Alligator mississippiensis: one gene and its partner. The protein of the gene in region 1 purifies or fractionates together with the protein of each later gene. This does not show direct contact. Links are inferred from orthologs where the notes say so. Each region holds a gene or a part of one and is shown on either strand. Other genes may lie near its edges. The genes, in order: ECD and TSSC4.

Evidence for each region.
Region 2: the proteins of ECD (region 1) and TSSC4 purify together in Homo sapiens (affinity purification with mass spectrometry; 3 studies listed by BioGRID and IntAct, counting the BioPlex papers as one, with this or other methods). This does not show direct contact. The link is inferred for Alligator mississippiensis from reciprocal best matches to the Homo sapiens genes ECD and TSSC4.

Annotation. Positions count from the first base shown.
Region 1 is NC_081829.1:60,091,205-60,106,302, reverse strand, and holds the start of ECD (protein ecdysoneless homolog), read left to right. Parts: upstream 1-8,420; 5' UTR 8,421-8,457; coding exon 8,458-8,647; intron 8,648-9,209; coding exon 9,210-9,327; intron 9,328-10,136; coding exon 10,137-10,224; intron 10,225-11,053; coding exon 11,054-11,223; intron 11,224-12,399; coding exon 12,400-12,592; intron 12,593-15,098. Other genes in the region: primary cilium assembly protein FAM149B1, read right to left, coding at 284-416, 1,498-1,602, 8,175-8,224. UniProt on the Homo sapiens protein: Regulator of p53/TP53 stability and function. Inhibits MDM2-mediated degradation of p53/TP53 possibly by cooperating in part with TXNIP. May be involved transcriptional regulation. In vitro has intrinsic transactivation activity enhanced by EP300.
Region 2 is NC_081825.1:188,807,496-188,822,374, forward strand, and holds the start of TSSC4 (U5 small nuclear ribonucleoprotein TSSC4), read left to right. Parts: upstream 1-8,698; 5' UTR 8,699-8,803; intron 8,804-11,304; 5' UTR 11,305-11,431; intron 11,432-12,387; 5' UTR 12,388-12,455; intron 12,456-14,153; 5' UTR 14,154-14,238; coding exon 14,239-14,879. UniProt on the Homo sapiens protein: Protein associated with the U5 snRNP, during its maturation and its post-splicing recycling and which is required for spliceosomal tri-snRNP complex assembly in the nucleus.

The DNA of each region.
Region 1 (15,098 bases):
CAAGAGCCAGCAAGTGATAAACCTCCTCATGTTTTGAAAGCTTTAACCTAAGAATACTGAATCTATTATTCCTAGATATATTCTGAGCAAACAGTAAGGAAGAGTCAGAGGGAGACTTAAGAGAAAGAGCTTTTCTTCTCCCATGACTAATACTATATCATTATGCAAGGCTCTCATCTTAACTTTGAAAGCTTGCAAAATGTACTCACAATGCTAATTTAACTTAACACAATGTTTCCATTATCTTTCCTGTATTTAATATGGAGGACTGTGTTCTACTCACATCATAGCCCCAGGAGAAGACTGAGCTGCCTTCAGTGGAGGTGCCTGCGTAACTCTGGCTAGCAGACCATGAGTTCCCATTGTCAGCTGATGTAGTAGCTGGGCAATCTGAATCCTTCAAGATTTCAGGCTCACTAAAATGCCGATTATGCAGGGAGGAGGGGAAAAAATTCTTATAGGCGGATAAATAAATTAGAGACATTCACAAGTAGGTAAAGTACTTTTTACTTTGTGTACAGAAAGGGATATGTATCACAGCTTAGCTCTCAAAAGCCCTTTCTGTGTGATAAATATTTAATTTGCAGGCATTTGAGCAGACACCACAGTGCACATATGCCCATCTAGCCCAGACCCTGACATAAATTTACAAAAGTAAAAAAGTACTTGGCTTGGCTTCAATGGTACATAAAGGCTGCAGGACTGATCTCTTAAAATTCAAAGTCCAAATGTTATTTTACTACCCTTCTACCTTTGATTATGTAGATAAATACTAGTTCAACTTTGTTACCTCTCAAAAATTACTCTCCCTAACTCTTTTTTATAACATAAAATATTCAGTCTACAACATTTACAAGTCAATGACAAAACAGATTTATTATCCATATTGAATATTATTCCAAAATGGATGTGCTCCTATGCGTATCTACTAGGTCTTGAAAAAAGTACCACATCATCCAGCTAAAATGAACCCACTAGTAAAGTATAGAGTCAATGTCCTGGTAAGAAATAGTAGGAAGTCATAAAGAAGCAGGGCTGGAAAGGACCTCAGGAGGTCATCAGGGGATCCAGTCCCCAGCTCAAGGCAGGATCATCCCTGTCTGGAGCATCCCAGCCAAGCCTGGGTTAAGCTGCTGGAAAAGGATGAAAATGTTGGGATGAAATTGTCTCCAATGGCTTCAATCTAGGAAGCAGTGCCATCCAGACAGATCCCTGTGACTCTCCTGTGTCCCATTTTCAAGAGAATTTATGCAGATGCAAAGGTCTGAACAAACCATCTTATTGGACCGAGGCCTATGGTACTATCTTTGGAAATCAAGCATTAGTAATGTAGTTATGTTGCTGATGATGTAATCTCAAGCATAATTTTTACAGATATTTTACTTGCTTTTATAGACATAATTTTATCATTTTGATATCTGAGGACAGAATCGAAAGATGTCTGTTTATCTTATTGCCTTCAGACAAAAACAAAGTGTCTGTTGCTATTTCAGATACCTTGAAGCTTCTTCATAACTTTCAGTGCTTGGGATAGCTGAATAAATGTCATCTAGTAGTTCTGGCAGGGGATGTTGTGCTAAGGCATTTTTTGTAAGTCTCCGTCTAAAACAAAACAAAAAGCATAGTGTGACTTGAGTTGTGACAATAAACCTCACAACTCGGAACTCCTTCTAGGGCATAAAAGGATCCTACTAGCTTTCAAGAAAAATACTGCATGCATACATAGCTGAACCTGCTTTATGTCCCCACATTAATGTCACTACACTAACGATCTATCAGTACTCTTTTACTGATTTTTATTATCATCCAAACCTTAAACTTGAGCCTTAACAAGTAACTGTTATTTGTTGTTTTTTGTTTTTTCAGATATGCTTTCCAGCCCTCACGGCTGTGGGAAAGTTTGAAAATGTAATGACAGTACCAAAAAGCAAAACAATAAAGCAAATATAAAGTACACAAACTTATTATTTTGTAAAATCTCATGACTTTTAAATCAATCATGGTTTGTGCACATCTGAACTCAGAAGGTGGAGAAAATGGAAGTTATCAGTGAAAATATAAAACTTAAGCATTGCTCTTGAAATGAGTGCTATCGCTTCAGTTTTCTCTGCAGTGGTGCAGGGTTCTACCTAAAATTAAACAATGCAGGACTGCAGCCTCGGTTTGCCTCTGACATTAATTTGTGAAAGTATAGTGCCAAATTCCTTAGTACTATCCAAGCTGAAAGTTATTAAAATATCTTTGTTTTTACATTTAATTCGTCAGGTGGTATCACTGTAACTCTGCCACATAATCATAGGAGATTTCCCTAACAGATTGGATGCTGGAGTAAATGTTATCTCCAATAGTGACTACTATCAAATGATTTAGGACAGTGGTTCTCAACCTTTTTGCCCCACTGGCCAGAAGAGTGGCCCAAAGCTGGTCCACAGGCCAGACAGAGCCCCAGATGCCAGGATCAGGCCTTGGAGGCCAGTACTGCTCCCCCTCCTCCCCCACCCACAACTTGCCCTATGTGCTGGGATTGGGCCAGTAATGCTAAGTGCTGACATTTTCCAAGGTGTGCCTTGAATCTGATGAGAAGTGCCTTGAGTCTGATAAAGTTGAGAACCAGAGGTCAAGGGTAACAGTGCTGCAGTTAAGGTGACTGACCTGAGCACAAAATGGATGCACAAATGACTGCGCAAATCTATGCACAACAGGTACCTTTTGTCACTACATTTCCAAGGGCACTCAATATAAGTTAACCAGCTGTTGCTACGGACTCACCCCTCATCTTCCATGCCTTTCCTGCCCTGGGATCTGCTTTTGTGGTTCCCTCACCTTAGCATTTTGTTGCTGCCTATGTCTGGCTGAGAACTCAAGAGTTAGTCAGTAGCTTAGATTCATATTAAGTGTGTCATTAGCAGGGATCCTGGTTTTCTCTGATTAAAAATTGCAAATTCTCTGATTAAAAACCCCAAATCCATGATAAAAATTAAAGGCCCCCCACAACACTGCTGGTGCCCTGCATTCCCCCCCCCAGTCTCAACAGTCCTCCTGATGCCCCTTGCAACAGCCCCCCAGCCATGCAGACACTGACACCCACCCCAGCAGGTAAGTGTGTGTTGGGGAAAGGGGCAGAGCGGGGGAAAGGGAAGGTGCTGGGGGGGTAGATCAAAGGGGGGGGTGCCCCTGTGTCCACTCCCAGGAGGAGGGCCAGGGGTGAGGGCAGGGGTGCCACTCTGCGGACCACACACATGCCGGCTGGCTGGCCTGACAGGAGGTTCGCACATGGAGGCCGCCACCGCAAATCTGCCACTGCACCCTGCACTACCATCCCACAGCCACCTGCATGGCTTTGTGGGCAAGGGCGCAGGGCGCAGCAGCGCAGTGGCAACCACCATGTGTGGGCCACATACGTGCCACCCAGCCGGGGGGTGAAACAGGGGGCTTCCATGCAGCAGCATGCCCTGCAACTGGCTGCACAGCTCTGCGGTGGTGCAGGGTGGTGGCGGCGGCTGAATGCAGGGTGGGGGGGCTCTGCAGGCAAGCACTGCCATCGCGGAGCCATGCCCTTTGCCCCAGGATCATAGAGGTAAGTGGGGCATGGGGGCTGTGGTGCAGGGCTGGGGAAGATGGTTGGGAGCTGAGGAAGCGGGGGTGCTGCCGGCCCCAGGAAACACACCACAGCTGCGAGCAGAGCCAGGGGGTGAGGCCAGGGGAGCCCCTATGCGTGGGGCTTTGCAGGCAAGCGATGCGGGGCACAGTGTGGTGGTGTCCGCCATGTGCGGGCTGCACACATGCCGCCTGCCCAGGGGAGGGGGAGAGGGAGGCTGGCATGCAGCCAGAGCACAGCTCTGTGGCTGGCTCTGCAGCCACGGTGAGGGATGGGGGCGCGGAGGGCGGGGGCTTGCACGCGGCGCTGCTGCTTACCTGGAGGCCCGTGTTGGCGATGACAGCCGCTGCCTACAAAACTGTCCGCTGCCGCCGCATAGCTGTGCCTGGAGCTGTGCAGCCGGCCACTTGGCGGCAGCAGCAGCGTGGTGGTGGCCAGGCAGCAGGCTGCCATCCCCACCACCATTCTGCACTGCGCCACTGCTGCCGGCCGCACAACTCTGAGCATGGCTCTGTGGCTGCAGCAGGTTTTGTATGCAGCACCCGTCACCTCTGTCCCTCTATGTTTATCTCTGGCCATCCATCTGTCTATCTGCCTAGATACCTATCTATCCGTCTTCATCTATCCATTTATCTGTCTCTCCATCTATCTCTACCCTGATATTTCTATTAATCTCTCCATGTATCATTTAGCTATATGTATCTGTCCCTCTCTATCCATCTCTCTGTCTCTATTGCCCTCTCTCTCTCCATCTAGGTATCTGTATCTAGTCATCTCTATATCCATCTCTCTGTGTCTCTATGTACCTATATCCCTCTTTCTCTATCCATCTATCTCTATCTCCCTAGATATCTCTATCCATACATCATCTACCTATGTCCATCTCCATCTATCCATCCATCCAATGAAGCAGACCATCCAACTATCTCTATCCATCTCTATCCATCTCTCTCGATCTCCATCTACCTACATAGATATTTCTATTTATCTAGCCATGTATCTAGTTATCTGTCCATCTAGCCAATGAACCAGTCACCTATCTGTCCGTTTCCATAACCCCATCCACCCATTCATCTGTTCATCCAACCATCCATCTCCATAACCCCTGTCCATTCATCCATTCCTTACTCCTCTCCACACACCAACCGTATAACCCTGTCTACCCATCCACCCACACATTCATCACCTCTATTTCTCTCTACCTACATATCGCTATCCCTCTATCCATACACCTATCATCTAGCCGTCTGTCTCTGTCCATCTCCACCTCTCACCATCCCTGTTCCTGCTTTCTCTCTCTCTCTCTCTCTCTCTCCCCATCATCTCTCTGTTGCCCTGTGGTGCTCAGACCCATTGAGCCGCCAAATGGTGGCAGGGACCCAGAGCAGATCCTACCAGTCCCCTGCCCCCCCTCCCACTCTATTCAAGCCTGGTGTCCAGCTCAGCCTGGGGTGCCCAGCAGCATGGAGCAGCCCCCGGCACTGGGGAGGGGAGGTTGCAGCCCAGCTGGGCCCAGATCATCCTCACCTGGTGGCCTGGACCCAGAATGGCCTCTGACCCCTGCCAGGTGCAGCTTCTGGGGCCATGGGGGTCTGGGAACTGGAGGGCACGGGTTTGCTGGGCAGATGCTGTGAGTAACAGCAGGACATGCACACAGAACCCAGGCATCCGGGACACGGATACTGGGACGGACACACACACACACACATACCACTCCCAGGTGTCTGGGATATGTGCTCAGAACCCAGACCTCTGGGACACCCCGCCCCCCCAGCATTCAGGACACACAACCTGGGCATTCGGGACACACACACATGCATGCACGTGCAGAACCTGAACATCCAGGACACACACATGGAATCCAGGCCTCTGGGACAGACATACAGACAACACCCAGGTTTCTCACCCCCCCCCCCCCAATCTCTCCATATATCATCCAGGCTTCCAGACACACATATACACACACACTATGCACGCATCCTGGACACACACATGCATAGGACCCGGGTGTCAAGGACATGCACACACAGTACCCAGGCGTCCAGGACACAGAAACAGACACATGCTCACAAAACCCAGACATCTGGGACATGCGCACGTGCATACACACATGCTTTCCCCACAGCAGCCCCTGTGGCAAGGTTTGAGATCCCAGGGACGGGTGCACCAGACACCCCCACCCCAGGCTATGCAGCCTGTCCTTCCCATCTCAGTGTCCCCAGGGCTGGGGGGTCCCTGCAGCACCACAACCCCCGAGGGCAGGCCCCAAGCCTAGCTCCTTGCGTCACTGGGGCTGCCTGAGGCCTGCCCAGTGGGGAAAGAGGAAGGGACCATCAGCCAAGATTCAGAGCATCTCCGGGCTCAGCCCTACCTTGCCCCCATGCTGGCGTCTGCCCCCCACTGCTGCCCCGGGACATCACGGCTGCCAATGCCAACGTGTTATGGCTGCCATCACCATCATTGTGGCTGCTGAGTAGGGCAGAGATGGCCCATGGCTGGGCTACTTCAGCCTTGGTGCCCAGGAACCAGCCGCCCCCCGCACCCCAGTTACTCCAGCTCCTCTTTCACCCTACGGGGTGGCGGCAGTGGTGGCGGCTGCTGCCACTTACCTGTGGGGCCGCCTGCGCCAGCAGTGACTGCCGCTGTGTACAAACCCCCCCCCCCCCCCCCCCGATGCCACTGCGGAGCCATGCCCAGAGCTGTGCGGCCGGCAGCAGCAGCACAGGGTGGTGGTGGGGATGGCTGTGTGTTGCCCAGCCACCACCACGCTGCCGATGCCACCCAGTGGCCGGCCGCACAGCTGCAGGCATGGCTCCGTGGTGGCAGCGGGAGGTTTTGTAGGCAGCGGCTGTCACCGCCATCACGAGCCTCCATGTAAGAGGCAGCACCGCATGCGAGCCTCAGCGCAAGCTCCCGCCCCCATCCCTCACCGTGGCTGCAGAGCCAGCCAGGGAGCTGTGCTCCGACCGCATGCCAGCCTCCCTCTCCCCCTCCTCCGGGCAGCCAGCAGGGCAGCATATGTGCAGCCCGCACAGGGCAGGCACCACCATACTGCGCCCCACTTCACTTGCCTGCAAAGCTCCTCGCAGAGGGGCACCCCTGCCCTCACCCCTGGCTCTGCTCCCAGCTGTGATGTGCCACCTGGGGCCAGCACCCACAACTCCCTCAGCCCCCAACTATCTTCCCCAGCCCTGCCACAAGCCCCACTTACCTCCATGCTCCAGGGGCGAAGGCTGAGTGTGGGCCTAAGCCCAGTCTTGGCTGCTTCAGAGGCTCAGGCCCCACCCTTCCCCCTCCCCCTGGACCAAGGCTGGGGGTTTCCCGTCCTTTTTGCAAATCAGCTCTTGCAGGCTGGAGCTGTGCCAGCCTGCAAGAGCTCTTTGCAGAAGTGGAGAATCCGCGGATTTCTCTGCTAAAAAGAGAAATCCGTGTTTTCTGCAATAAAAACAGGGAATCCGTGATTTTCTCCATTTTTCCGTGGGAAACAGAAAACCCGGATCCCTGGTCATTAGCCAACTTTTCCATTTGCCACAGAAAAACATGGATTTTCTCCTTTAAAGTGTGTTTCCCTTTGCAGGCTGCCAGAGTTCCAGCCTGCAAGAGGCTGTTTGGGGCCAAAGGGAATGGGATGCAGGCTCACATGCACAAGGCCAGCAATACAGCCAGGCAGTGGTGGAGAGCAGCTCCCCCAGCTACCTGCAGGTAAGTTTATGGAGGGGGCATAGGCGACACGTGAGAGGGCAGGGGGGTCATAGGCAATATTTGGTGGGGGGCAGGGGGGCAGACTGAGGTGGCCACAATCTGAGGGAGGGAGAATCAATCACAGCAAAACATGGATTTGGGAGGTTTTAATCAGAAAACTTTGGATTTTTTAATCACAGAATTTTGGATGTATAAGCAGAAAAGCAGGATCCCTGGTCGTTAGGCTATCCTTGGAGTACTTTCTTAGGCAACTCCCCTTTTTGTCCCTGGACACCTTCTACTGAACAGGAGCTACTTGGACATTCATGCGTGGTCTGTCTGAGCCACATGCCCAGCTGGGCCTTCATGATTAATGCCTCAATAGACATGAGGTCAGCAGAGTTTATCTCTCTGATTGTTCCCAAGTCAAAAATATGTCCATCCAGGAAATTCCTTCCTAATCTCTGTATGTTAAACAACTGGTTTATCCCACCAAGTGAGAGGGATACTAATCCACCTAACTTTATCCTAGCTGCCCTGGCTGAAGATGACACCTAATACGCTAGTACGCCCCAGGTGCTGTCCAACCAGAAAGCTCCCCAAGCGCTTCACACGTCAGGGCCGCGGTGTCAAGCTGTAGGACGCGGCGGACGCGTGCTCTGCCAAGGCACAGACGGCGCCTGCGGTCACTAAACAGCCCAAGACACTTTTCGGAAGTCAGGAGCAGTTTATGCCCGGGCCGGGGACTGCAGTCTGCCGCCCAGAGCCTCCCCTGGCGGAAGCCTTGTCCTGCCCGCCGGACCTCTCCTACCCCAGAGCAAGGGCACAAGGCCTGTTGAGAGGCCGAGTGGGGCAGCCCACGGCTGGAGCCCCGGCCCGGCCCCACCTCACTCACGTCTCCAGGACGTCGGGGGGAACCGGCTTCCGCGTGTATCGCGAGACCATGATCCGCCACCTCAGCGTGGCCCCCGGCGCCGCCCGCCGCCGCCTCCAGCCGCCATGGTGACGCCCCACCCCACTCCACTCCACCCCACCCAGGCGCTGGCGCTGTCGCGCGGCGATGATGCAGCAGTGCGCCGGGCGCGGGACTATTGCGTTGGCGGAAACCCACCCCGCATTGGCCACCAGCCGTCGCGTGACCCCTCGGGGCGGGTTAGGTCCCCGCAGCGGGCTCGACCATGGAGCCGCTGTGGCGGCGGGCGGAGGATGCGGTTCGCTACCAGCTCTTCCTGCTGCCGCCGGGCGCTGAACAGGGCGAGGACGCGCTGCCGCGCTGCGCCGAGCGGGTCCTGGCCCGCCTTGCGCCGCTGCTCGTCTCCTACGTGTGGCAGCGCGAGCCCTTCTCCCTGCGCGCCCGGCCCGCGCGAGGTACGGCCCCGCGCCGCTCTCCTGGGGCCGCCGCCGCGTGTCCCCACGTGGGAGGTGGCTCTGCATACCCCGACCCCTCTGCCCCCCCGCCGGGGCACGGCGCACGGTTGCTCCAGCTGCAGCTGGGCCGTGCAGTGGCTGTTGGGGTGCCGCTCCTGCTGCTGCTGCGCGGGGCTGGAGCAACCACTGCTGTGTGCTGCCCTCGGCTGCAGTGGGGCCGAAGCCCTGCCGGAGGGGGGGCAGCGTGGCGAGTGGGGGCAGAGGCAGTGCGGAGCAAGCAGAAGCTGTCACGGTAACCCCGGCTCCGGGCTGGAGTTGGAGCTGTAGCTGCCACCTGCCTTTCCACTGGCTAGTACTTGAATCTAAGACAAGCTCCCCCCTCCCCCCCACATGTTAAACAGAAGATTTGGGTAAATATGGTTTGATTTGCTGAACTACTGCTGTAATACTAATACTAAGCCTTCAATCCCCATTCCCCCCAACCCCTTGTGAAATTATGAGATAAGAACATGGTTTGGACTAAGGAGGAGGTCACTCAATTTCTGTTCTTTTTTTTGTCCAGGTGGTGTTCCTGCACATATTGGGGGTGTGACTGAGTTTGGAGATAATATTGAAGATGAATGGTTTATTGTGTACCTCCTACAGCAGATAACAAAAGAGTTTCCAGAGCTAGTAGCAAGGTATTCTTAACAAAGCAAACTCAATTTTATTATTTTTTGGTGAAACTATAACCTGAGACCTAAATCAATTTTTTTCTTAGTGATAGCTGTTGCCACACTGTTTTACCAGGATAGTCCAAAGGGAGTGGATTAATAATCCCCATTCAGCATGTACTAAATTTTTAGGCATGTGCTTTAGTCTCTTTAAAGTTAAAGCTAAGTAAGTGCTTTGTTACAAGGCTTGAGGGAGGGTACTGATTTTTGTGTTTTGAATTTCAAAGAATCAAATTGTTACATAACAATGTTTTGTAGCCTTTCTTCAGGGAGAGATGGGCTAGGTGTGCCATCTAGGGTGACAATAATGTGTATAGTGCTTGATGTTTCACAAACTTCATAGGTCATTTTATATTCCTTTAATCTTTTTCTTGAATTTTGGAAAAATTGTACAGCACAATAATATTCTGACCTCTTCCTAATATAAGGCTCAAAGTACGGCTCTCATTCCTGCTAGCTACATGACTATAGAACGTTTGAACTGAATTAAGTGACATTATACAAGTAATGGAAATACTAGTAGATTCTCATATAAGAATGTGCAAAAGAAAATCTTAGCGCGTCAACAGTCTGAGGAAAAAATTATTTGCCCTAAAAAAACTAAATAACTGAAATCATTAAATATATAATAGTTTCTGTCTTTGGTTGGGAGGATTTACAAAGGAATAAAAAGAAAGAAAAGATAATGGAGCCTTCTGTTACTGAAGTAGTAAATCATTTAGAATAGTTGTTGTGTTATACAGAGCCTTTTCTAATAAAAACCTAATTTTGGGTAGGCTTGATGACAATGATGGTGAGTTCCTATTGATAGAAGCAGCTGATTTCCTTCCAAAATGGTTGAACCCTGAAAATAGTGCCAATAGGGTAAGTAAAATTTTCATTCAAATTAACTTACTGGTGTATTGAGTTCAGTGCAGTACCCTCTTATTTAGTAGGCTTAAAATTCAATTCCAACTTAGAACAAAAATAAAACTAGTTAAGTAGCTTTATTTTCTTGCTTCTTTCACAAATCTACAACTTGCTGTTGTTTGTAAAGAGTCTGATAATCATCAGCTTAATCTCTTTGATCATGGTCTAGCACAGGGATTGGCAACTCCTGGCACACATGCCAGAGCATAGTATTCAAAGGCGTTTTGCTTGACATGCATGCCTCAGGGCAAATGGTGGGGGAGCCACGAGGGGCCCTATCCTTGTGGCAGCGGGGCTGCTTGAAGGTTGGATCCAGCTTGGGAGATGCTGCAGCTTGAGCTGCAGCTCGTGACATGGCATGATAAGATCACAGCAGCTCCAGCTCTCACCATGTACCCTCTGGATCCAAAGCTTCTATCGCATGCACCACACCGTGATGGCATTTCTTAGCTCTGGCATGAGGCAGCAATGGGGGTGGCAACCATGGAGCTGGGGCTACAGCAGTGGAGACAGGCTAAGTAGCTGGAGGGTTTTTGAGGCTGTATCAGCCCTTGCTCACCGTCCTGCCACCAACTACCACATCCACTGGGGCCCAAAAGCCCTGGATGCTGCAGCAGGCCAGACCCTTCATTTGCCAGTGGCCCACCTATAAGCTGGTGAGCTGGAAGCAACTCCATGAGCTGAATCTGTCCCATAAGCCATATGTTTGACACCCCTGATTTAACAGATAACTTATTAGTCTATATGCAAATGTGCTCCTTTCTGATGTGACTTTTATATTTAGGTGTTCTTTCACCGAGGAGAATTGTGCATCATCCCACAATCAAAGACTTGTGGAGAGGAGCCTGCCTCCAGTCCAGCAATTCCCCAGGTCTTAGCGCTGTTATCTGCACATTTAGAGGAGTTCCGGGCTGCAAAACCTATTAGAACAGCAGTCTATAAACGCATAAGTGGGTGAGTGGACTGTTTTGGGTTGTTTGGGGAGGGAAGAGGGGGGGTTGATGTTCTTTAAGTGAATGCTTTGATTCTGGGTTGTCTAGGGCACTTATTTCCTAGTATCTAATCCATTTTCTTGTCAACTACAATGAGATTTGCCACTTTTCCAAAAACTAATAGCTAGACTTTTTTTTCTGGGACATTCTTTCTACTGGTAAACCCACCTGTACGCACACAGGTGGTATACTATATTCTTATTTGAGGGTGTTGAAAAACAAAGGTACAGGGCTAAAATTATATCATATGTCTGTGTGATTTTGGCTTTTCTTAATTGTTTGTAAAAGGACAGCTGTGACTTGTCAGTCTTCCTTGCTGGCAGTTTGAATACTTCCATTGGTATGCCTAAAACGGTCAGCAAGGGTCACTGGTTTGGTAACAGATTCCTTCTCGGAATACTTTAGGCTTAAAAAAGACTGCAATTAGATTCTGTTGTTTAATATTAAGGAACTGTAAGCTAGATGATTAGGCCACTTCACAATAAAGGACTTATCAAATTGGAGGGAGAGACTTAAACCTCTCAAAGTCTAGCTATACTAGTTTTGTAAGTATAACCCACGCTGTATGTTGATTAGTTTTCTAACTAGAGATTCTAAAGTATAGTAAAAGCTCTGTTATCCGGCATCCACCAGGAATGGGGGATGCCAGATAACAAAATATGCTGGTTAACTGAGCGACCCGAACAGTCATCCTTGCCTGTTCGGGCCGCCGCTTCTCTCACCACATCTGGGGCGTCGCTGTCCCTCCCACGACATCACCGCCCCTCCCGCAGGCCCTGTGGGCCACGCAGGACAGGGAGGCGGGCCCCCCGCAGCCTGTTATGCCCCCAGGCCATGGGGGCTCTGCAGCGCAAGCTGGTTTCCCACCAATCATGGGGTCTCGGAGAAACCGGAAGTGCCACAGTGGGCACTTCCAGTTTCACTTTTCCTTACAAGCTGGCATGCCGGTTAACAGAGCATGCTGGCTTGTAAGGGGCCGGTTACCGAAGATTTTACTGTAATTTGTAAATGTACATAATGTGCACACACATTGTTTCCCCTTTTGTTGAATATCTGCATAAAGAATATCTGGTCATGTTTGTAATATTTCTTTTTTTTTTTTTTTTTTTTTTACATGTTATATCATTGCCTGAAACAGATATCCTGACAAAATCAAGGCCTCCCTTCACCAAGCCCACTGTTTCCTTCCAGCAGGCATTGTGGGAGTGTTGAAGGAGCGCCCTTCTCTGGTTGCTGCTGCAGTCGAGGCCTTCTACTTGCGAGATCCCATTGACTTAAGAGCATGCCATCCTTTCAAAATTTTCCCTCCAGACACGCGTGTGATGAGTTGCGTAAGTGATATTTCTGCTGGTAACCTATTCTGTCTCGTGACTGACTGATTTGTTATGCTGTTTCTTTGATCATTGTGTTAGGAAAATGCACAGCTTTCAGTTTTAAAAATAGTACATTTCTGATTAACTTTTCTTGAAAGCATTCATAAGTTTCTACTTATTTAAGGTATTTTAAGTCTTACTACTTGTACTCACTGTGGAACTAGATTATTAAAAGCAGATGAGTTTCTTTTCTTCAACAAAATAATTCTGAAATGATAGAAAAGCCAATTTAGAATTGCTTTATTTTGTTTTGAAACATTGCTTTTTAGTTCAGGTGGCAGTCACTGAAATGCTGGATGAAATGCACAGGTAGCCCTCAACACTTGTGATCATTGAATAATTGCACAGTAACTGACTCCATTATTCTGACCAATTTTTTTAATTGGGCATTTGGGGCATTGAAAGCTTTTCTCTGTTATTATGAAAGGATTTAAGACCAATTCCAAAACTGCAGTGATTTAGGCTTTCCCATCTGCAATCTCAACACCTTTGGTCTTCAAAGAACTGACCAGTGGCATAGTGCTGTCCTTCAACTTCTAGCTAGCTAGCAAAATGTAAGCATTTCCTTGTAGTGTTTAATGTGTATGCTGTAGCTGTAACTGCTACAAAGGAGGTACTTGGCTACTTGTGGAAGGGGAATTGCTTATTAAATCCTTGTATTAAGATGTAGTCATTATCTGCTACCTTGCTGGTGCATTCTGCCACAAACTTTAAGGATCCAGTTTGAAGGAATTTAATAAGGCAACATATTTCAATTTTAATTAAGAAAGGGTAAAAAGCAAGCAAACATAAATGGTCATTTCTCTTTGAGCATTTTTTCCTCAGTTCCCCCTGCCCCCCCAACACCCTTTCTTTCCACATACATCCCAAAGTAAGCCATGTATGTTAGGACCAGCTCCAGCAGACATACTTCCACAGCTGTACAACTCTGCCACTTTAGCTGGAAGACAACCAAAGGTTTTATAGAAGGTTGCAATACCCAGAAACTTTTATGCAGAGTAGAGGAGGCCCTCCCTTATCTCCTTTGAAATTGACAGCTTTTTAGACAGTCAGGTTTTCCTTACTCCTAATTCTGTAGAACAGTGGTCACTAACTAGTAGCTCTCAATCTACCAGTAGATCTCAGAGCCTCTTGTGGTAGATCTTAGAGTCAATCCGAGGCTGGGGTGGGGGGCTGAGTGCCTATGTGCATGCACAAGTATGCTCCAGCCCAACAGGTCAGTCTGTGGGGAAGAGAAGAGACCGGGTCTAGATCAAGGCCCCCGCGGTGAGGGGCAGGGTCTCAGAGGCAGGAGCAGGGGTAAGTTGAGTGGAGCCCCAGCCAGGTGGGACTTACCTGCTGGGGAGGCGTGCCCCTAAATAATTTGTTCTCCTTCTGCCTTGATCCCCACCCCACCCCTGCACTTACCTGCTGGGCAGGAAGAGTGGGGGGGTGCACAGTAGATCTTGGGTTGCTTTTAAATGCCAAAGGTGATCACCTACTTTAGCAGTGGTCTCCAACCTTTTAGAAGATTCATCCTATCATAGTCTACACTATGCAGAATTTTGAGAGTTTCTAGGATACAGTGTTCTTCAATAACTGACGTGGATTTTGTTTGTGTTGCTCTTGCCATCATGTGGCCCTATTTTAATAATGAGCAGGATGGAAGTGATGCCTGCATGTATCTCTCTTTTAAGTCTGCGTTCTCAAGCATGAGTGCCTCAAATATTGATTTAAGAGTCTAAATAGCTAGATTTTTGTTAACTACCTAGTAACTTTCACTGAGGTTAGTGGATACTACTAGAGGTACGTGGTTACATTGGTCCTATATCATATCAGAACTGATTAAAAGGAAAATTGCCATTATCAGCAATTAGCTTTTTTTGGCTGATGTAGCCAGTAATGTCACTATAAATGCTGTGTGCACATGCATAGCCTCAACACCGCATGCAGGCAGCCAGGAGCGCAGCCCGGCAGCGCAGAGAGCAGCGTCTGGTTGATAAGTTTGTTGTGGGGGAAGGGGCATAGAAGGAGCACGGTGGAGGGGGGCGGGCAGACTGAGGCCCCTGTGGTGAGGGAGTGGAGCTAGTGCAGGGACAGGCACAGGCACTTCACTGGGGGAAGGGGGGCGCAGGGTGGAGCCACGTGACTTGTCCAAGGGATGTGGGGAGGGGAACGGCTTCTACCACTACACCACCCCTGGGGGAGTCATTGTGGCATGTGCCCTCCAGATCTGTGTGGGGTGAGGGCAGGTTGCCACTGCAGGCTGGGGCTGGGGGCAGTGCCAGGCTCTTCCTGGCAGAGAGCAGCTGAGCCGAGCTGCACTTGGGGCGGACAGCAGCGCTGGGAGGGGGACCACAGCCAGGGGGGAGGGGCTGCAGCCACCCCAAAATTTGCTGTAGCCCCGCCACCACCTGCCCCAAGCGCAGTCCCAGCCCAGCTCCCCCTTACAAGGAAGAGCCCAGCACCACCCACAGTGCCCTGC
Region 2 (14,879 bases), on another chromosome or scaffold:
TTGTTGCCAATCCACACAGGGCAGAGGGAAGCAGCTAGTTAATTAGATTTTGTTTGTTCTGCTTCATTTTTAGGAGGCCCTTGGGACATACAGTGATGGGTACCAGACATGAGGTCAGGTTTTCAGCCTGGAAGAAGCTGCCTGTGTTTGCAGGGGTTTCACCCCCAGTAGCCAGGGCCTTGCAGCCATAGTTCTCTACATTTTCCACACCCGATCAGGAGGACCCCAGAATTCCTTTCCCATTCAGCAGATTCTGTGTGAGACTCTACCTTCCATTTACTGAAAAGGGAAAGAATAGGGTGGCTGTGACTTCCTGTTACTAATGTGCAAGCACCCCTTATTCGTTCCCTAGAGAAAAGGAAGCACTGTTGTTTTCTCTCTTTGAGAGCTATGGCTTCAAGGCGCTTGTACATGTGATAACGGGTTTGTGTACACATGACGAAAATTGCCCTTTTGTGTAACTTAATGGTGTCACACTTTATACGTATGCGAGTTTTTTGCAATTTAAATGAGTTTCATTTTCATAAGCTAAACCCCACCCCAATGTAGTTTAGTTTGCAACAGCGCAACTTGGAATGGTGCAGCCATTAATCTGTCATGTGTCGATTCACTGAATGATGTATAGCGAGCCCCTTCGTCCATCGAATGTTGCTACAATGTTTGTGTAGTGAGCCCCTTGTCCGCCAAGTGTCGCTGCAATTTGCGTGTAATGGTATTTGTGTGTAATGAATGTTTTAGGATGCCAGGTGTAGCTGCAGAACCCAACATAAATCTATCTTCTGCTGACCTCTTCTTCTTATTTTATTAAATAAAGAATTCAAAGAAAATAATCTGTGCTTGTCCTCTCTTATTTCACTTGGTGTGGTGGGTGTCCTAAAGGGCCCCAGGGTGTGTTGGCAGGGGTTGCAGATTGGGGTGATTTCAGGCTCTTTTGGAGATCAATCAGTGTGTGTTGTATCTGCTCCCGTCTGTATTATTGGGGATAATGCAGTGTGTGGTGTACCCTGAGCCCCTCAGCACAATTAGAGAAATACTGCACAGCAAAGCGTGCTATTGAATGCTGGTCGCCTAACTTGGGGTTTATGCTGTGAGTGGTGTCATGAAACCACTCAATGGAATAAAAATGACCTGTGCTGGCAAAAGGTGTATCCTGCTCCTTTAGTTCAGGGTTCAGGGTTACTGCACAGAATTAATAATTGATCGCCTGCTTTATGTGGGCTGCTGAGCATGGTTTTATTAAAAGCAGTAAGCAGTCACCCAGTCTCAGGATGGAGGATACTAGCCTGCAGGCATCATAGAATTTTTTTTTGGTGTGCAGCCCCTGCTCCCTGAAGCCGACCTGCAGTTCCAGGAGGGTGGACACTTTTCCTCGTTTGCCCTGGTGACTGAGGTTTGAGGCACAAATCAGACCCGAAGCTTGTGCCTGCCCCACACCAGGGAGAGGGCAGGCATGCTCCTGGGCAGGCAGTCGTTTGGTCTGCCAGGGGCCCCCAGAAGCAGTGTCTTGACACATGGGTCACTGTGTAGCCTGTTGTGCCATTCATTGACAGGGATTTTTTGGGGTGCAGGGACAGTGCAGTGGGGCTTTCCCCATGGCTGCTGTGCCATGCCTGGTGTAAAGAAACCTGACCCTGGTAGGCAAACATGCCGCTGACTGGCACCAAAAATTGCAACAGGGTGGGTGAGGGCTGGCCAAGTTGGGTGGGTTCTGCTCTGAGCATTTAAGACCTAATAGGAGTTGAATGGGTCCCCAGAGTTCCCTTGCTGTCTGGACAGCTGTCCAGCTGTCTGTCTTTGCAACAACAGGGGAGGTGAGGTGAGGTCTGGCTCTGTTTGGTGTATTCTGCTCTGAGCATTTAACATCTAATAGGAGTTAATGGGTTCCCAAAATTCACATCACATTGAAAACTGGGTGTAGGGAGATTTGGGACATTTATGCCTGCAAGATTACTTGGTGGTTCTGGCACCTTGATGTCTGGCCTAGCCCTTGATGTGCTAATAGGATCTATTCAAAAAGAGCATGGGGACCTTTTACACCCACATTTCTTCTGCTGGGTTGGGGGTGTTTGCTGGGGTGAGACTTTGTAGAGGGTCTGTTCATTGTTCTACTAAGTCAGGGGCGGGCAATTATTTCAGGCGGAGGGCCGCTTACTGAGTTTTGGTAAGCTGTCAAGGGCCGCATGGGTAGCCCCGTCCCTTGACAGGTGCCCTGCCCTCTGGTTGCCATCTTGTGACCAGAAGTCCTGCCCCCTAACTCCTGGCCTTTGCCACCAGAAGTCCCTCCTTTTGCCCCGAGGAATACTCCTTTCAGCAAGGGGTTTTACCATCTCAGAACCAGAAACATACCAAATTATATTCTAAAAATCACACATCTAAAACATAATTTGATTTAAAAAATAAGTTTTTGACCTGGCTTACATGTGTTTGTGTAGTGTACACAGAGGTGGTTGTATAATAGCTGAAAATGAAGTCTTACTCTTGTATATTGTGGGAGGGGTGGGGGGCATGGGTATAGGTTTGTGGGGGACTGTTAATGTATGGGGATGTGTGGGGTGAGAGAGCATGTGTGTGTGTGGATATTCATAGATTCATAGATGTAGGGTTGGAAGGGACCTTGTAGATCTTCTAGTCTGACCCCCTGCCCTGGGCAGGAGAGAAAACTGGACTTAAATGACCCCAGCCAGGTAAACACTGAGCCTCCTCTTAAAGACCCCCAGGGTAGGAGCCATCACCACTTCCTTTGGAAGTTGGTTCCAGATACTAGCCACCCTGACAGTGAAGTAGTGCCTTTGGATGTCTAGTCTAAACCTACTCCCTAGCAATTTATGGCCATTATTCCTTGTTACTCCAGGAGGTGCTTGGGGGAACAAGGTCTCTCCCAAACCCCACTGGTCCCCACTAGTGAGTTTATAGAAGGCCACCAGGTCCCCCCTCAGCCTTCTCTTGTAAAGGCTGAACAGGTTAAGGTCCCATAGCCTCTCCTCATAGGGTCTGCCCTGCTGTCCCCAGATCATGCAAGTGGCCCTTGTTTGGACCCTCTCAACCCTGTCCACATCCTTCCTGAAGTGCGGCGCCCAGAACTGGATGCAGTACTCCAGCTGCGGCCTGACCAGTGTCTCATAGAGGGGAAGGATCACCTCCTTGGCCCTGCTTGTGATGCATCTGTGGATGCAGGACAAGGTACGGTTAGCCCTACCGACAGTGTTCTCAAATTGTCAGCCCATGTTCATCTTGGAGTCAATAATGACTCCAAGATCTCTTTCTGCTACCGTGCTTTCGAGAAGGGAGTTCCCCAGCCTATAGGTATGCTGCTGGTTCCTACTGCCCAAGTGCAGCACCCTGCACTTGTCAGTATTGAATCCCATCCTATTTTCATTTGCCCACCCCTGTAACCTGTCCAGGGCCTGCTGTAATCTGTCCTTCCCTTCTAGTGTGCCCACCTCACCCCAAATCTTGGCGTCGTCTGTGAATTTAAACAGCTTGCTCTTCACCCCATCGTCCAAGTCACTAATAAAGAAATTGAATAGTGCGGGCCCAAGGACAGAGCCCTGGGGGGGACCCCACTGCCCTCTTCCCTCCTGCAGCATCTGGCATATCTCATGTACTACCATCCCGGCTGTGCAGGGATCCATGCCAAACTGGTTCCCAATGAAGTGGAGGCTGGTGGGAGTGGCCAGTTTCATTATGGCCATGGCCACCCTCTTTTCTGGTACAAAGGGGTGATTCATGACAGTATTCGTGCATGATTCATGCAAATTTCTACTGGGGAATGTGCCATGCATAGCAAGGAGCCCAGAGTGCCCTGGAGTAGGTGCATTTCAGGGGTGGGAAAAATGCGGCCCGTGGGCCACATGCAGCCCACCAAGCCATTCTATCCGGCCCACGGGGCCCCTAAAAAATTTAGAAAGTTAATATTTATCTGCCCCTGGCTGCCCGTCATGCGGCCCTCGATACCTTTCCAAAACTCAGTAAGCGGCCCTCTGCCCAAAATAATTGCCCACCCCGATGTATTTGCTCTCAGTTGGCGTAGCTGACCTGACCTGTGCCTCCTCTATCTCATCTGGGAGAATGGTCTCTGTGAGCTGTAGGAGACACTGGAGATACTGAGACTGCTCTAGGTTATGCACAGTCCAGCCCCACAAATGGAGAACGGTCTCAGTGTAGGTGGTCTCAAGTCCCTCTTATCATCCTTTCTCCCTCCTTCCCCTGGCCAGGATATAAGCAGAGCACAGCAGTAACAGACCTGTGAATGCAGCCCCAGTTCTAGAGCAATATCAATGGAAGAGACATGCCACTGAGGAAAGGATGCTGTTCTTTATATGAACCCCTGGCTCTGTGTCCCTGTATTCTTTTAAGATATTCAGAAAGTATCTTCCCTATTGTGCCTTTTGCTCTGGCTACAGGAGAATATCTCTTGTCCCTTTCTTGCTTGCTTTGAAAACAATCTACCCTCTATGACTATTGAAGACAGCTTGACCAAGCTTATTTTGATGTTTATTCAGTGAAGCTGACCCAAGGCATGAGGAGATTTGGAAAATGTATCTAATTGCTTGCCAGACCACGCAGAGCTTGGAAGCTAGCCCTTGCCTGGAGCACAGTCATGCTGTTTGCTCTCCTTCCCAAAGGTGAGTCTGGGTCCTACCCATTCCTTGATGGAAGAATCCTGGAGCTGGCACTTCCATGAAGGACTTCTCAACACTACCTGGGGATGGCCCCATCATTTTTCTCCCCAGGGGCAGCTGGAGTGGTTGATTGACAGCCTCTCGCCCCTGTTGCTTGTGGATGGGTCTCACAACAGCAGAAACAGGAAACTTCAGCAGCTGTATAAGGAGGGAGGGAGGGGGGCTCTTAGCAAAGTGCTAAAGCTGTGTGGAGGGAAAGGCTGAATGACTGGTTGCTCTGCACTGTGCTGATGTATTTGAGGGTGGGAGCACCCAGTATGCAGGGGTTTGCGTGAGCTTGTCCGCTTATTCTGGGCTACAGCCCTCACACCACAGGGCTGAGGACCAGCAGGCATATGCATACGCCTCTAGGGGATATGATCACTTCCTCTGCAGCTGTGCAGGGCTACTTCTCCTGAGATCCCCTGGGCTGTGATAAAACAACCCCTGAAGAAGTACTCAGAAAACACGGCTTTTTCGTTTTGACAGTTTCCTGCGCTGTTGCCTAGAATTGTGTTTCCATCCTACCAAGCTGCCTCCGCTCACACGAGCTAGAAGAAATTGCTTTACCATCTGTTCATCTCTGAGCCCTGACTCACTATTTTTATTTTGGTGTCGCCAAGCAATTGCAAGAGCCCCAACACGCCGCCAGCACAAACTGCTCTGCCACCAGCCTCTAGGAAAAACAAATCTAGCCTTAATGCCTCGCAGCACATGGGCCTTGGTAGCAACTTGCAAGGGCGGGGAGGGCGACATAGACTTCACAGTGATCTCAGCCCTCAGGCAGGCAGGAAACACAAGCCATTAAAAAGGGAACTAAAGTGGAGCACAAAAGAAGTAAAATATCTCCTGATGGTGCATGGCCCACAAGGCACCTGGGTGCTGAAGGTGGCAGTGATGGAGAAAGGTCTCTTCACGCCTCTGGCCACTTTGGCACCTGAACGAGGACTGGAAAACGGTCTCTCTCTGATTCCAGTGAAACTCCAAATCCACCTCGCCATGTGATAGACGGCTTGTGCCTGATCTTACAAAATGGGACCGGCTGCTGCTTTCTCCCCTGCTCTCTTCCTGCCCTTTCCCATCCACACTTTAGAGTGCATCACCTGCCATGCTCCCAATACTACCCTCTACTCTGCAAATAGATTTTTTTTACCCTATTCCCTTAGACCGCACCCACTGTTTATTCTTTTCTTTCCAATGATGCTCTTTCTCTACCCACCCAACCCACCCATACACTGCTCCCTGTTGAGCTCCTAGGTGGTACCCCACAACCCTCTGCAGCCCCTGGGAAAGGCCGATCCCATGAATTTCCATGCTGCACAGATCTTTGAATGGGGAAAAGCCTGTATTAGTGTTGTTTTAAAACTCCAGCACAACTCTGGCCAGATGAAAGACATTTTGTTCTAACCTTGCCTGTCATTGCTGCCAAATATATTCCAAACACAGCTCTCTGGTCATAAATTACTGTAGTTAGCAACACTCCAGAAGGCTGTGATATATATTTAAAACCGACAATGCAAATGAAATGGCTGCAGTTTATATTATGGATGACTCATAATGAGGCCCCATTTTTAAAGGGATTCAGCCAGATCTTTTAGGCCACAAACATAACCTGCCTTTAACATCACACATTTTTCACCAACGCTAGAGGTGAAGCAGTGTTTGGAAGCCATGAGGAAAGGTATCTCAGCAATCCCTGAGGCAGGTAAGCTTGGAATACAATACAGCTCCTGTCCCAATATGATATGCTGGCACATGGCACAAACATACAGCTTTTGTTTATATGTAGGCCCCTAAGTAAAGGCCACATTGTTTCTGAGTTATCTATCCAGTGCTGAGAAAACTAATTAAATAAAAGCTTTTATTCCCTACATCTTGTTTCAGAGCCCACTGACCTCTTCTGAAGGACTCACTCTCACTTTCACTGGCTTAAATCAGGCCTATACAGTGATGTGTAACTGGGACTAAAGGGACCTTAAAGCAAATCCCTAGGGACATGGTCTAATGTCATCGCTGGCTTTGCTCCAGACTGGTCTTGTGTTAAAGACTTTGGGCCAGACTGTTTATGGGCTGGCTGGAAGCTAAGGGCCTTCATATGAGGGTGTCTCCCAAATACTGTCAGACTTACTGCCTTTCTGACCCTGCCTAGAAAAATCACCTGAGGCAGCTTTCCTTCATCCAGATTTTAGCTATTCAATGCCACATCTCTACTAGCAGGCAAGGTTATTTGGGTAGATGTGATATCTTCTTTTGCAAAAAATGGTCTTTGCAAGCAAGCTTTCAGGAACAAACACCTTTCTTCAGGCATCGGGAGACTCTACTGGTGTCATATGTTCCCCAAGGTAGAAAAGTGCTTGTGCCTGAAAGCTTGCAAAGAACATTTTTTCCAACTATTTAGTTGATCTAATAAAAGATATCCCACCTACCCAAAGAACCTTGCCTGCCTATGTCCTTAGACCAACGTGGCTACAACCAACAACCCTGAAATAGCTCTACTGGGGCCCCTGCTGCCAGTCATGCTAATATAGCTGTTGTGGCAGCAGCGCCATACTGTAGCCCAGTCTAGGCTGGACCAGCTAACTGTGTTCATCTAAACAGCACGCTACAGCAATAGTGTTAACTAGGATGAGGTGAGCAGGGCACCACCCCCAGGCGCCAACTATGAGAGGCTGCCAAAATCCATCCACCTCCCCTTCTGGGAGTCCTTGCCTTGACAGGGGAAGCCCCTAGGCGGCCCCTGCTGGGCCATGGGAGCTGGGCAGGGCAGCACTTCACCCATCAACATATCTAGGGGGTGGGGGGCGAATGGGACAGGTGGAATGGTTCTCCCCTGACCCTGGGGAGCCTTTGGCAAAGCAGCCCCAGCCCTACTCCCAACATGTATCAGGGTTGGGGTGGGTGGGGGGAAGCAAATAGGACACCCGGATCTGCTGGAGGAAGCCTGGCCACAGCAGAGCTCGCACTGCTGACACTGAGAATCTGCAGCGCTAGCCCAGGCAGGTGTGACCTCCCTTCCCCTTGCCCGTGCCATAGGCACCCCACCCCCCACCTGCCGCCATCTGTGTGGCCAGCATACCCTCACCCTCCACCCCGCACCGCCCGCCCCAGGCGTTCAGCGAGCTTGCTATGCCACTGCACTACATCCCTGATGGTCAGAGCTGGCCATGTTGTGCAGCCCCACGGTGGCCAAACTATCCTCCTTCATTTTGATGGTAGAGGTTTATTTCTTCCCCCCTGGCTCTCCCTCCCTGCATGCCTATAGCAAAGCCATGATGGGTGTGAGTGATCTCAGATGAGCCACGCTTGGCTTTGTATCCCACTCCCCTCCCACCTCTAAAAGCAAGAGGCATGTTGACATCTCCTTCATCTAGCAGAGAAAGCAGGTTGGGAGATCAAGTGTGGCTTGCCACAGAAAGCTCTTGCCCTGCTCCCAAGAGGGGGCCTGGATGACTACATGATCTCTGGGCAGCCCTCCATCCCTGCTTCTCTACGACTCTACACCCAGAGACGGCTCGTGCTAACCTCCCCTGCGGTTGCTAGTGCCTCACTTTCCTTCTCCCTCCGTAAGGGGCTGCTCTGATGCTCCTACCCCACACCCCTCACGAGGAACTAGGGAACGCTTGCACCGGGGACCACAAGGCTGCGGATTAGAATGCTACCCGCATCCCGACCTATCCCGCGGCGGTTTACAAAATACAAGCACCTAATTGGCTGCAGTCTACCTTCCACCGCCCCGCCCCACCCCACCCCATTGGTGTAACAGGGCGCGGCGACGAGAGCGGCTAACACCGCGGTGCATTATGGGGGCCGCAGTCCCTTCCGTGCGGGGTGGGGCGGGGGCAGGCTCGCCAAATGTCCCCCGAGAGTCCGTGGACTACAACTCCCAGCAGGCCAAGCGGAGGGACGAGCTGCCCTTGCCCTTTCCCCCCTGCCCTGCCCATCCTGCCGCTTGTCCCCATGGGAGCTGTGGTTCGGGGCGCCTGCCACTTCCCGCGCCTTGCTAGAGCTTCCGCGGGCGGAGCGGACTCGCTTTCCCAGCTTGCCCCGCGCGGACGGTGGCCGCCAAGGGCGCTGAGGGGCAGGGGCCGCCCCGGAAGGAACGCGACCGTGGCGCGGAGTGGTTGGGCTCGAGCTCCGCGGAGGTACGCGGGGCTGCCGTTGGGCTCGCGCGGGCGGGGGGCAGGCACCAGGGCACGGCCGTTGTCCACCCCCCGTTGTGCAAGGGGGCGGGGCGGGGCGATGCGGCGCGGAGCGGCCCGCGGAAGGGCAGATGCGGGGGCAGGGCAGCCCTGTGCGCGCGTGCGCAGTGTTGCGAGGTGCGCGATCATTAGCCTCTGCGTAGGATCATTGGAGCTCTCGTATGTTCAGTGGTAGTAAAAGTGCGCGAAATGTAGGGTAATTGTTGAGGCAGCAAATGCAAATCCGAAGTCGCTCTCAGGGAGTCTTAGATGACACCTGGGTTTGCTGTCAGCCCTAGCCTCCAAATAAAGAAATGCTTCGACTTGAAGTCCTTGCTGACTCACCGGCGACTTGCCGTGAGCAATAGGAAGTCGAGAAGAAGGCTTATTTGCATAGTTATTTGCATATTTTTGCAGCGGACAATAGTTTTTCAGCAAATACGATCGTTTTGAGCTTCCGATACAACAATTTCATATTTAAGACCTGGCGATGCTGTGTGCACAACAGCATCACCCTCCTTAGCCCACCTCCTCCTTGTGGCAGGGAGGGGTGGGCTGTGGGCCTCTCATGCCCAGGTGTGTGCACGTGTGTGCCTGGGTGCACAGGCAAGGGTGTGCATGGGCGTGTGGTTGTGAGAGACCCTGCGTGTCCGCCCAGCCCCTCCCCTCATTGCAGATGGGTCTCATTGCTGAGGGGGTCTGGGCACTTAGCTTCTTTGCACTTAGCCCAGTGGTTCCCAAACTGTGGGTCATTATGCCAGATGGGGTTGCGAAATCAGGGTTACGGGGGTGGGCGGCTCTGGGTTGGGAGTGAGGGGTCATGCTGAGCAAATGGGGCCATAAATGGGTTCATGCTGAGGAAAAGTTTGGGAAGTATCTCCAGAAAGCTTTACGTATCTCTGTTTCCCCTGGCATAATGAGGGCCAGGCAAGCACAGCAGCCGCCCCTAGCACTCGCTTTGTGGGGGTGGGGGGTTCCTCCTCCCTTCTTCCCAGCAAGGCAGAGCTGGGGAGCACTGTGCCCAGCAGTGTTTCAAGAGGGGGAGAAGGGTGGAGTGACGCCCCCTTCCCCTGGGAGGCTTCACCAAAGGGGGTTCAGCCCTGCCCGTGGGGCTAGGGGGTGAATGGGGCCCTGGGAGCTCATGCCCCTGCCCACAAATCGGTGGCAGCAGCGCAAGCTCCTGTTCCTAGGGGATGGGTAGCTGCCTCAAGTGAGGAGAGCCCCAGCACGTCATACTGCCCCCCATCTGCCCAGCAGTCAGCATCATTCTTCCCCCCCCCCCCCCCCCCCCCCCCCCTTAGGCCAAATGAGCGGCCTGTGGTCCATCCATGGGCTGGGTATCAGACCCAGCACGTGCAGTGCCTGCTTCGGCCAGTCTCGGACCTGCATTGCACACACTGCATGTGGTGTGGTCCTAGGACCAGCCATGCAACATAAGGTCCAAACCAGCCAGAGTGGGCATCAAATGTGGCATCAGATGTGGCACTCATCCCAGGCCCTGTGTTTGTGGCTGGTTCAGTGCTTGGTGTGTGTGGGTCAACTGCAAGTCCCAGGGGCAGCATGGGGGGTGGAAGGGGCAGCTGATGATACTTCACAGTCCATCTATGGCTCCCAGGCCATATCTTTGACACCCCATAATTAGTCCATAACAGTGATTCTCAAGCAGGGTGCTGCAGCATCCTGAGATGTTTTGAGAGTCCTTTGAGGGTGCCATGGGGTGCCACGCAATGGTAGCACTGTTAGGTGTGCAAACACAGTTCACAAGATAAACTTGAGGATTCCAATTTGAAACCTCCAACATTAAAAATGTTCTGACCTGTTGTGAAATTATTCTTTGCAGCTGAATAATTGCTCTTTGATCTTTCCTGTAGTCAAAACACAAGTGAAAGCTAAGAGCCAGAGTTTTCCAAGGGGAGAGGGGGGCGGGCCTTGGGCCTAACGAGGGATGCCTTGTGTCTAAGAAGGCGGAGAACTACTGGTCTCTAAGCTGCAACGCTACCCTGTGTTCTGGCTGCCAGTGTGGGAGAGCAGATTGTGTGTCCATCCCTGGCTGCAGGGTGGTACCTCTGCCAGGATCCTCCTCTCTATTATGCTGATAGTACCCATCTGATGTCCATGACTTCCTTCTAGGGTAGTCCTTTGCTCAGTGGACTATAGGCTTCCTATCTGCTGACTGGCAAGGGCTTACAGTAGTGTGTATTGCAAATGCCAGCGTGTGGTGAATTGGTCATTGTGTGTTCATTCTGGACACCAGAGTGGTTTTATTGTGGTGTGAATGCCAAGGTAAATTATTTCAGAATAAACCATGACTTGTGTTTGCATAGTTATATGGCCACCTTCACTAAGCTTTACAGTGTTAGCGTAGCTGTTGTCCAGTCTCTGCTCTTTCCCCTTCTGTACTCAGTATGGTGATAAAAGGCTCATTGCCCAAGTGTGGAGTGACTAACTCTTGGACCCCTGTGCAGGTCACAAGTGATCCAGCAGAACCCTGTTAGCTGAGACCAGGATGGAAGAGTCTGACGGGGACCTATCCATTCAGAGAGGTGCCGTCCTAGCTGAGTTGTACCATATTCGGATCACCACAACGAATTTGTGAGTCTGTCTGGGGAGTAGGGGTCACTGCTCGAGCACGATGTTCTCCAGAATTGAAAAGGTTCCCAGGGTCCCAACACAGGGTCCCAAAACAGGGACTGTTTTGTTACCAGTCCTGGAGTGTTAGGCAATTTAATTCACCAAAATGTAGTCAACTATCACCCTGGCATCAGTATGAAAGCAGGCTATATACAGGTAGACTTACTGCCACCCAGTCGGCCACCTGGTTCTGAGGGATTGTTGTTATTTTTACAAAAGCCGTTGATCCATATGCCATAGCTTTAAAGACAGAATGGGCAGGATTTCAGGGGCTCCTATGCTTTTTTCAGGACTTGAATGGAACCAGGTTTCAAAACCATCTATCAGCTTTCTTTGTGACAGATTGCCAAATTTCCCATTGAGGTCTTGTGGGGAAAAAAATCTATCACGCTATTCTGAAGACTAATCACTTACACCTTTTTATAATATCTGCTGCAAATTGGGAGTGTAGAATTACTTTGAAAATCCAGTCCTGTTCTGTCCTTCTGTCTCTTTCCTGCAATGTTCAGTGCTTGTGGTTATTATCCTTTATTAGTTATAATCAGTTACTCTTGGTAACCACAATGATGGTGAATTCCTGATCTCTTTTTACTTAGCAGAGTTTCATTCTTAATCATTTATAGTGTAAACCACAGAAAAAATAATACATTTGTGAATTCTCTTTCTTCCCCTCAAAGTTCATTCGAAGGGAAGTTAGCATTAATCTGCACACTGATATTAAGTGCTGAATGGATTCAGTGGTGTCTGTTTTAGCAGGATTTACAAAGTTCTTTTCTGAAATATCTGCATGGGGATGCCTCAAAAAATGTGCCAAGTTTGCCTGTTAAACTCAGGTTTACTTTAAATATATATATATATATATATATATATATCTATCTATCTTTATCTTTATCTTTATGCAGATGTTTGTTTTTCAGGGTTCAGGAGCTGAGATCCTTGGTGGCTTTAAATGATTCCCAGGAAAGAAAACTGATTCAGTCTGCTAGTGAGTGACTAGCAGACATTCCATGTCTATTTAATGTGGCCGTTAAGGAGAACTTATTTGAATAGTTTAGATTATTTTTTTCCTATTTTAAAATTCTTACAGTATATTGGAAATATTGCCCTGATTCTAGATATCTTTATTGCCTATGCCATTATGCATAGTATTTTATGAATATAGCCATTATGTTAGAAGGTAGCTTTACAAAAAGAGTATCTGAGTTGTGTATAGTCTTGAAACTCATAGTGATGCTAATATACAAATGAGAGCAAGCAAAAGGAGAATTTATGTTGCATCAGTTCTCCAGTATAGAGGGAAAAAATGTGTGTCAAATGGAAAAAGGATCATCAATAAAGGCTAGGAGTGATTCCATTTTTTATTTTGAAATAGAAATCAGCTGTGCCCTTTTGTTTGCCTATCTTTTAACACTGTTCTTCTTTGCTAGATTTCTGGTTCTGTCTATTTGGAGACAACTGGTTGGAGCACACAATGTGAGGCATGCCTGTGTAGCGAGGGATCTGGTTTCAATTTGTGCTCCTTCCTGCCCTATCTTTCCTACCTACAGAAGCTTTCTTTCTTTCCTCTTTGTATAGAAATCTCTTATCTCCATAACTCTCTTTCTCAAAGAGAGCTGAACTAAGGTACACTTAGCCACTAGCAGCTCTGTTTGCTCAGCGAGCAGGGGTGTTCAGATTAGAAGGCAGAAGAGTTTTGCACCTTATGCACTAACCAAAGCAGATATATAGCACAAGCTTTTATGGGCTGAAGCTCACTTCATCAGATGCTGTGCTAACCAAAGTAGTCCTAATTAACAGGGCCAGCTGCATCTCTGGCTTCAGATTAACCATCTTCACCCTGGCAGAGATCCTGCAAGCAAATGATAAGTGAATTTGGGGTTCAAACCTGTACTTCAACTCAGTAAGACATGATGTCATATCTAGGCCACTGACCTTGGTGTGTTGACAATGTCCTTATGATAAACAGTTCATTATCACCTGTCCTGTAGAATTTGGGGAACAAAAAGCATGCTGGTAGCTCAGGAATACAAGGGAGTGCCTGACAGAATGCTGCTAGGGCTTGGGACATGTTTCCATCCATTAATCCTATAGGATAAATATTGAGTGTGACCTTCAATTATTGCTGAAGGTAAACAAACCAATCTGGAGGAAGTGTTTAAGAATGTCATGTGATATTCAGGCTTTTTCAGAAGCAACATACCTCAGCATCAACTAATGAACAAGATCTGCAGTTTTTAAGCAAAACCAGCACACAGGTTAGAGGATTTCTAAGCAGCCCTGTATGCTGGAAAGTCAGTCTTCCCTGAGGATTAGTGCAGTAAAGAATATTTTTTAGTTTAAACAAGAATTGCTTAGGAGTCACTCAGGTCACGGAATGGGTACAGGTGCCTAAGGTTTCCAGTAGTAATGCATAGCATGGTCTGGAATGTCTATCACGTACAACATCAGTGGAAATAATGAGAGTCAATATGTTGGTTCAAATAGCATAATGGAGGCCAGGTTGCTTTTCAGCTCTAAGTGTAACGGGTAGTCCTTATACAGTGATTCTTCTCTGTTTCATTTTTTAGCACTATTTGGGTCAAGTGTATTCTTTGGGCTTGGACTGCTGCAATGGTAATGGGGATCTCTTGGGATTTGAGTCTTATTTTGCAGTTGAGTTTATATTTGTTCCTTCTTACGCTAGGCTTTAAACTCATTGGACATTTGGAAGGCCTTATTTGCTGCTGCTGAACCTAATCCAGAGACTGCAGTTGAGTGACGACTTGAAAATGGAAGATAAAGGTGCTGGCGAGCCCTTTATGGGTATAATTGCCAGTGAGGTTGCTGACTATGATGGCATTCAACCCTCAGACACAGTGTCACTCAGTGATTCAGACCCTGAAGACTTCGGTTTAGCAGATGAAGCTGAAGTTGATACAATATCTCCAGAGGAATCTCTGTCTTTGGATGACGTGGTTTGTGGCTCAGGTGAGAATCCTGAGTCTTTAAAGATCAACCTCAAATCGCCTGTCCAGCCATTCCACCTAAAAGGCATGAGCTCTACCTTCTCCATGCGCAGCCAGAGCATTTTTGACTGCTTGGAAGGAGCAGCCAAATTGGCAGCACCATCATTGGCTGAAGATAACATTATCGATGGGAGGTTTAAACGCCCCCTACCCCCAGCCACTCTCCCTAGTAAGATGGTACCCGAAAGCTTTGGAAGGCAAGGCAAACCACCTCCGACTACTAAAAGCTCTCCATCAGTCCCCGACTATGTGACACACCCAGAACGCTGGACCAAGTACAGCCTGGAGGGAGTCTCAGAGTCGAGTGATAAAACCAACAGGGAGGTAGCTATGGAGTTTCTAGGGGGCTTGAAGAAGAAAGGAGGGGAACACAGCTCATCTGCCCAAGATGGCTATATCCCATA